Linked DNA regions of Saccharomyces cerevisiae S288C. The protein of the gene in region 2 interacts with the protein of the main gene of each other region in a biochemical or structural test. Each region holds a gene or a part of one and is shown on either strand. Other genes may lie near its edges.

What was found. The genes of interacting proteins can lie anywhere in the genome.
Region 1: the proteins of SPT5 (region 2) and SPT4 form a complex in vitro, tested with the Saccharomyces cerevisiae proteins (4 studies listed by BioGRID, with this or other methods).

Annotation. Positions count from the first base shown.
Region 1 is NC_001139.9:617,016-619,819, forward strand, and holds SPT4 (transcription elongation factor SPT4), read right to left. Parts: upstream 810-2,804; coding exon 501-809; downstream 1-500. Other genes in the region: membrane insertase COX18, read right to left, coding at 1-263; VHT1 (Vht1p), read right to left, coding at 1,062-2,804.
Region 2 is NC_001145.3:246,176-251,618, reverse strand, and holds SPT5 (transcription elongation factor SPT5), read right to left. Parts: upstream 3,943-5,443; coding exon 751-3,942; downstream 1-750. Other genes in the region: mitochondrial 54S ribosomal protein bL33m MRPL39, read left to right, coding at 103-315; RAD33 (Rad33p), read left to right, coding at 4,191-4,724; ERV25 (Erv25p), read right to left, coding at 4,868-5,443. UniProt on the Saccharomyces cerevisiae protein: The SPT4-SPT5 complex mediates both activation and inhibition of transcription elongation, and plays a role in pre-mRNA processing.

The DNA of each region.
Region 1 (2,804 bases), on a different chromosome or scaffold from region 2:
TCTTGTTGTTTCAAAATTCTCCTCCGCTGCCATATACTGAATGGCAGCGTCACGAGGGTTCTAAGGGTCATAGTAGTCAAAGGAACAAGCACTATCCATGGTATATGTGAGGCTTCATGCACTGTTAAAAACGTGTCCGCTACACTTTGAAAAAGTGAAAAGCTTCTCTTTGTACTTGGATTAGTCCTACCATATCGCAGACCGACTGAGCTGCACGAGAATGACGCAAAACCATTTTGACGATTGGCTAACCTCTTTAACATAATGCCATACTTTATCTTGAAATTTTCCTATCCTTGGACCTTTTTTTTCTAATGAAAGTCTTTTTAGCCTTAGTTGAATTACTGGACGGTAGAAAAATTGGGTTTGCCAGCAAAAACAAAAGTGCAGAACGTTAAATAAATGAAAGCATAAACTCATATGCTAGAATATTTACTAAAAAAAAAAAAAAGTAAAAAAAATTCATTACTATTATACATGTGATATCAGAACGGAAGGTTTTACTCAACTTGACTGCCATCCCTCGGTTTGTAGTGAGGCAACAGCTCCACAACCTCAGCTGGTAGTCTACCATCGACCTTGATGGCGTACATACCAGCTATACTATGATCTACGCTCAGCCACTTTGCTACCCACGACTTAGTAGGCTTACACATTCCTACGAGGCCCTCGAAAGAAGGCGACGTACATTCCATTGTAGAAACACCTGCCTCTTCAAAAATACCCTGACAGTTGGGACAACCATCTCTATTAAACTCATTTGTGGTCTGCACTATGCCACACAGCATACAGGCTCTTTCACTAGACATCTCTTACACTGTACCTCGTTCGCTTTTGCCAAACTGAATGTGGCCAGGTGTAATTATTACACAGTACATCCTTCGAGCCCTTTCTTAAATTTCACTTTTTCACTCGATTTCACTCATAGAACGTATAAGGTGACCTTTATCAACATCGAGATTAATTATAGATAGAAGATGATTAAATTATATACATGAATATATTTATTTGAGGTATGGTGTCTAAAGCGTAATATACCTATCTACTTCACGTAAATTGGACTACGAGGACCGCTTTAAATAGTAGTAACCATCTCTTTCCTCCATATTTTTCTTTACAAATTCTGGAAGCTCTTCACCCTTATTACTATCATACAAGATGATACCATTACCTAGAGCATGTTTCTTTTCGTTTCTCTTGTAAAAAAAAAGTACAACAAACGTCCATAAACCGTAAATAGCACCAAAAATTAAGCTCACGGTGTAACCAGTCTTAAAACGTGGTGACTCCACGGTAGGCCACGCCAAGGTAGGAATCCAGGCGTAAGTGGATTGAGAGAAGGAATAAATGGCGATCCATGTAATAGCCTTCACCTGAGGATCAAACCTTAAGAAGTCATTAATAAACGACCATAGACAAGGCGATGCGGCCACACTGAAATACGTGGTGAAGAAAGCGTACCATTTAGCTTTCGAAGGAATATCCCACTTGATAAGTAAGGCACAAGAAACGGTATTCATTATAGCAGCAAAAACCATGAATATCCACTTACATCTAAATAAATCGGCACCAAAGGCACAAAAAATCACATACGCAAATCCTAAACATGCGGGTATAACACTCAGGTTGTTCACTTGGGCAATGGAGTACTTTGTATTAGACTTTAACCACAAAGTATATGAACCACTATACGCAGTCATGTTATTCCACGAACATGTATCAAAAACAACAAGTACCCAGAATGCTGGAGTACAAAATACTTTCTTCCAAAGTTTTCTGCTCCATAATGGGGCTAGCTTACTTTTATCAACACCATCTTTGATTTGGTTCCTCTTATTTCTGGCCCTTGCAATTCGTATTTCTTCGTCAGTCAGAAATAAAGAGTAACACTTAGATGGTACACCGGGAATAACAAAAAAACCAATAATAGCCGTGGGAAGAGAAATTGCAATGGCATCGATCAGAAACATCCATCTCCAGCCTGCTAGACCATGGACGCCGTTCAAACTTTTGAATATGCGACTTTGCAGAAGTCCTGAAGTCACGGAACCCAATTGTTGCCCACAAAAGAATAAACAGACTCTTGAATTAATTTCATCTGGGGCATACCAACAACCTAGTATATATTGGGACACTGGGTAGTAAGCAGCGCCAAAGGCACTTAAAATAAATCTGTAAGCCCTTAGTTCGGCTAGTGAGTTTGCCCTATAACATGCAAATGTGAACCAAGTCCAGCCCAAGTCCATTACAGGCAAAATAATATGAGAGGGAAATCTTGGTAACAAATACATAAATGGTAATTGGAAGACAATGGCACCAACATTAGCAATAGTAGAAGTGTAAACGTAATCATTACCTTTCATGTTTAAATCTTCCTTCATATTGGAAACATATGCGTTAGTGTAGTTATTCAAATCCACTGACTTGGACCAACATAACATAAAAAAGTATAAAGCAATAATAATGTCTAGCTTGTAAAGAAGCCGTCTTTCAGCCTTGGTTTGAGTAGTATGATTAGGATACAAAAACTCGTACCACTTACGTGATTTCTTGTATTCCTTATTAACACGATACTCGAATTCATCAAAATATTTCCACCATTTACGCCCAGCTTCATCTCTCACTTCATATGGCAAGTCATGCCTTAAATTGTGAGGATGAGGTTCTACAGCTGTAGTTTCTGCCGTAACGTCTGTCTTCGAGGACTTATCTACGCTATGATGTAGCTCCTCTTCAGCTATGATACTGGAGTTAGTATCGTCTGAGTATAAGTACTGATCATCTTCGGGTAGTTTTCTCAAATG
Region 2 (5,443 bases):
AAAAAACTATAATTCACTGCATACAAACGTATTGACTGCTCCCCTACAGCGGAAGATAGTAAGAATACAACATCGTAACTGTTTCCATATTTATGTGCCGATATGGTAAAAGTGAAATCTAAGAATAGTGTTATAAAGCTATTGTCTACAGCGGCAAGTGGATACTCTCGTTACATCTCGATTAAGAAAGGTGCACCTTTGGTTACTCAGGTCAGATACGATCCTGTGGTGAAACGGCATGTGCTTTTCAAAGAAGCAAAGAAAAGGAAAGTGGCAGAAAGAAAGCCATTGGATTTCTTGCGTACAGCCAAGTGAAGAAATATGAATAAGCACGAGCCCCGGCATGTAAGCCCATCGAATACGCAGACGTTACGCATTTTTTTTCATTTATCCTGTAAATAAGTAATGGATACATACATTTTGTATACGATTCAAACGGAAAGAAATTCCGCTAACGAAAAAGAAGTTATATAAAATTACATTACAATAATCAACTCCCTCATAATAAAGTTGATATTTCATTTAGATATGCAAAAACACATATGCATACATACATACATACGTATATGTAAAAGTTAGAATCAAGGAAAACTCGTGACATACAAATGCAAGCATAAATGAAAAAAAAAGATCGAGATTCAGTATTTCATCGAAACATCGAAATCTTCATAACTATTCTTATTAACGTGGTAATATTAAAGTCTTTTTTATTGATTTCTTCTTGGGTGATATTGGTTCTCCTTTTGGTGATTAATGACCTCCCCATGTACTGTTACCACCATAGTTTGACTTATTTCCTTGGTTGTTCCAAGCAGACCTATTTCCATCGTCTTGGTTACCCCATGCAGAAGCTCCGCCATCTCTTGTACTTTTATTATTGTTATTTCCTCCCCAGGTGGAAGCCCCGCCGTAGGCTGACCTATCACCGGTACCACCCCAAGTAGACATGGCACCATTAGATTCACCACCCGACGCCCAAGTGGATGCACCGCCCCAACTTGATTTGTTACCCCAGGCTGAAGCACCACCCCAAGTAGAAGTAGCACCAGTACCTTGGCCGCCCCAAGCTGAGGCACCGCCGCCAGCACCGCCCCAAGCGGATGCACCTCCATTACCTTGGCCACCCCAAGTGGAAGCACCACCCCATGAGGAGACACCGCCACCACCTGAGCCTCCATGCGCATTTACAGCTGGTGTTTTGCCACCATCGAAGGAGCTCCATCCTGGTGTCATACCACCGCTAAGACCAGAAGAGGTAGCCGCAGCACCTGCTGCAATACCGCCAGTGGCCATGTTTCTTGGGGCACTGACGTAACTTGGGCCCATTCTGGCCTGTGGAACTCTACCACGTCTATTAACCAATTCATCATACGTGATACCTTCACCTCCCTCACGGTTGTAATATGTTAACTTATGCTTGTCAATTGTAATGTGTTTGTTCTTCGAGTGTAATTCGACAGTAGCTTTATCACCATTCACATCTTTCACAATACCTAATTGACCCTTGTAACCAGCAGAACGAATTCTTACTGTTTTGCCGAGTGCAACTTCACGACCTCCTCTGGACTGGATGGGTTGTTGGAATGTCTTAGATGATGGAGGTCCCATTTTAGAAATGATTTCTGGATTCATTTTACTTAGATCCATTTTGTTACTTAACATATTGTCCTTGGATGCCACGGCCTCAACGTTACTAGGGTTAACAACAAAAACCCCTGCATTTTCAACAATCTTCTTTGAAACAACAAAAATTTGTTGTGTTTGTATGTACAGGACCTGACCTTCTCTGCGTGAACCTACTTTCTCTACTATGGTATCACCAATTTTGATTTCATTACCATTTGCATCGACACTAGAAACGCGTGCACGAGCAGTATTTATTTTACTCAAGATAGACCCCTTCGTAATTGTCGACACTTTACCAGTTTCATCAATAACCTTGAAGATATCGTGGCCAGCTTGAATAATACAAGCAACATTTTTAGCACTCAATTCGACTATGTCATGTAGCGCATATTCACTTGATGTAGCTGTAGTGTCGATGGATTTGGACAGATTATTTGCTGTAATGGTAACTTCTCTGCTTGTTTGAGTTGACATAAATGTCACTTGACCTTGCTCTACCATAAGAACTAAACCAGCATCACCTTGATGTTCACCATTGATGACAGTAACGTGATCACCAGGTTCGAAAATTTTCCTCAGAGTAGAGATAGGAAATTCTAGAGGCGTTGTAAAGCCATTTAGTTTGATAGTAGCAATATCTTTCGTGGTTCTTGTTACAATACCCTTGGAACCACGTTGTTCACCATTTAGAACTTCGATACGATCACCTGGCTGGAAAGTGACCTTTGCAGCTTGAGCCTTCTTGATTGATTGTGAAACTGATGTTAGATCTACCGCGCCCTCTTTGGAACCGAATCTTGCCAATTCCTCCACAGTTGGCTGAATATTTTTGGTTTCCACATGTTGAATTCTGAAGGACTTATACAGATAACCATCGATATAATCTTCATTCTTATAAGTAAAGTGGCGATCATCCCTTTTGTACAGGTTAGCTTGGTCTAATCTTAGAGCCATTGTTGGATTAAATAATTGCGGTGGTGCTCTATGAGCAAAAGTTGGTCTTCTGGATTTACGTTGCTGTGTTGTTGGATCAATTTCGTCGAATTTACCATAATCCAGACGAGGAACAATTTTCAGCATAACTTCTAAATTATTCTCACTAATTTGGTCGACCATAGCTAAGTCACCCTTATAGATCCCTCTCTTAATACGAACGTAGCTACCTTCTTCCAAAGCAACATCATCAGATTTGTTTGGTTTTAGTAATAGAGGTAATTCTTGGACAGGAATTAGCAATTTTTGAGAAATATAAATATCTGGAACACCATTACAAAATTTTTCAATAACGGATTGCTTAGGGGCTTCGATATAGATTCTTCCTGTGTAATTATCCCTTTGGAAAATGGATAAAATTTTCAGTTTTTTCTTACCCATCGCCCTATCCAAATTGAATTTTTTTTTTAATAACTTACGAATCAATTCCTTTTCTTTACCTGGTCTGCAGCGCACACCCCAAATGGTAGCTGTATCAACACTTGGTAGGAGAAACCTCTGGGGCACGTAACCATCTTGAGCAGCAGCACGGTATTGCTTGGAGCTGCTTCTACCGTAACGCTCCCTTAATTCTTTCGCTAACCTTTGAGCGTCTTCTTCTGAAGTCTTGTTCAAATCTTGGTCCAGTTGTCTATGTAATCTATCGTCTCTTCTTGCGCCTGGAGCACTTGCTTCGTCATCTTCATCATCACCATGGGTAATGAAACCTTCACGAACCAACTCTGAATCCTCTTCATCTTCATCTTCATCTTCATCATCACTAACCTCAGCTTCAATATCCAAGAATCTGTTCCTCTCCTGACGACGCCTTTTAGTTGGGGCTTCATCGTCATCGTCCTCATCATCATCATCGTCATCGTCGTCTTCATCATCGTCTTCATCTTTGTTATCGCCCTCATCTTTGGTATCACCATCACTGTTTTTGGTGTCCTCTTCGCGAGGTCTCTTCCTTTCATCAGAGCCCTCTTCCTTCTTGACAATTTCATTTGCTTCGGATGAATCCGTATTCAAAGTTGCTTGGGCATCATCTGTAGCAGGCCCGTTACTAGATGAAACCTGCTCTGTGGCCGCCGTTTCTGCATTATCCTCAGGTTGCTGTGGCTCAGATTTTGCTTCTTTTTCTTCCCCATCTAAAGGGGGAATATTGCTTGTACTTTCTGCACGTTCTGTACTTTCCGTTGTGGTCACATTGCCACTATCAACAGTATCTTTGTCACTAGTATTTTCATCTTTAGTGTCAGTTGACTGCGGAACCACTACGGGATCAGCAAATTGTTGATCATGGTCCTGCATGCTCACGTTTGTGTCCGAGTTGTCACTCATAATTATCACAACACCCGTTCCTCTTTCCTTCTGCTGTTACCTACTTGTATGAATGGTTCTTGTCAATGCTACCAATCTTTGAACATGTTCATCCAAATTTTTTTCTATGTCGCATATCAGGCGGGTCACCTTTAGAAGGAACAAGTATGAAATATACTATCATATATATATATAATAACAATTACGCATGCAGGTGTCAGCATTAAGAAGCCGCAAGGTCACCTAAATACCTTCCGAGTTTTTTTTCAATGAGCAAATCCACTAACGTTAGTTATGAAAGAGTAGAGCTATTCGAGAACCCGAAAGTACCTATCGAAGTTGAAGATGAAATTCTGGAAAAATATGCGGAATCCAGTCTGGACCATGATATGACCGTTAATGAACTACCAAGGTTCTTCAAGGATTTGCAACTAGAGCCCACAATTTGGAAACTGGTGAGAAATGAAGACGTCATTATAGAAGGAACTGACGTAATAGATTTCACGAAACTGGTACGATGCACATGCCAGTTACTGATACTGATGAATAATTTAACAGTAATAGATGATTTATGGTCGATGCTTATTAGAAACTGTGGCAGAGACGTGGATTTCCCGCAAGTGGCCTTAAGAGATCATGTATTAAGCGTAAAAGACCTTCAAAAAATCTCCAATCTCATCGGGGCTGACCAAAGTTCTGGGACCATTGAAATGATTAGTTGTGCTACTGATGGCAAGAGGCTTTTCATGACATACTTGGACTTTGGTTGCGTATTGGGAAAACTAGGTTACTTAAAGATGTGAAGCGAACAAATCCATATTCAAATATTTTTTCTCCTTTATTCGGTTCTGGAATCTATTCATATATATGTAGAAAATAGTCGAGTACATATGCAATTATAGGGTAAGCTGATACACAAATGCATGGTGTGGTCCTCTTCCTTTGCTTAAATGATATGTTTCGTTTTGAAGTAGTTCTTCAAATAGTTGACTTGCCAAACACCCAGCGAGGACAAGACAATAATAACCAAAATTGAGAAATTTCTTACCCTTCTGTTGGTAGATTCATTGGTGTCTCTTAATCTCTCCTCTCTGTTTTTCAAGTAAGTCAATTCGTCGACAATTTCGTCGGTAATTTCCTCCACTCTACGCAACTCCACTTCTATAGGTTTCAATTTTTCGTTGGCACTGATCTTGTTCCAGTCACGAGCTTCAGCACCACTCTCAATGTCCAATTCAATGGCCCTGCTTAAAGAACGGCCACGATACTGAGCCTGATTTTCAAAACAAACGTCGAATGCCGTGGAGGATGGAGCAGTAAACGCAACACGAACGTCGCCTGCAAAGTCCCTCTTTCTACGATACTCGTTTCCAACTGAATCACGCACGAAGAGGTTTAGTTTCTGTCCATCACCAACAGAACCATCTGAGTGAATATCCGCGACAACCAATTGACCTTCAGTGACAAAATCACGAATACAAACCTGTTCTGGATCTGTAGATGCTGCAATGTCGAAATGTAA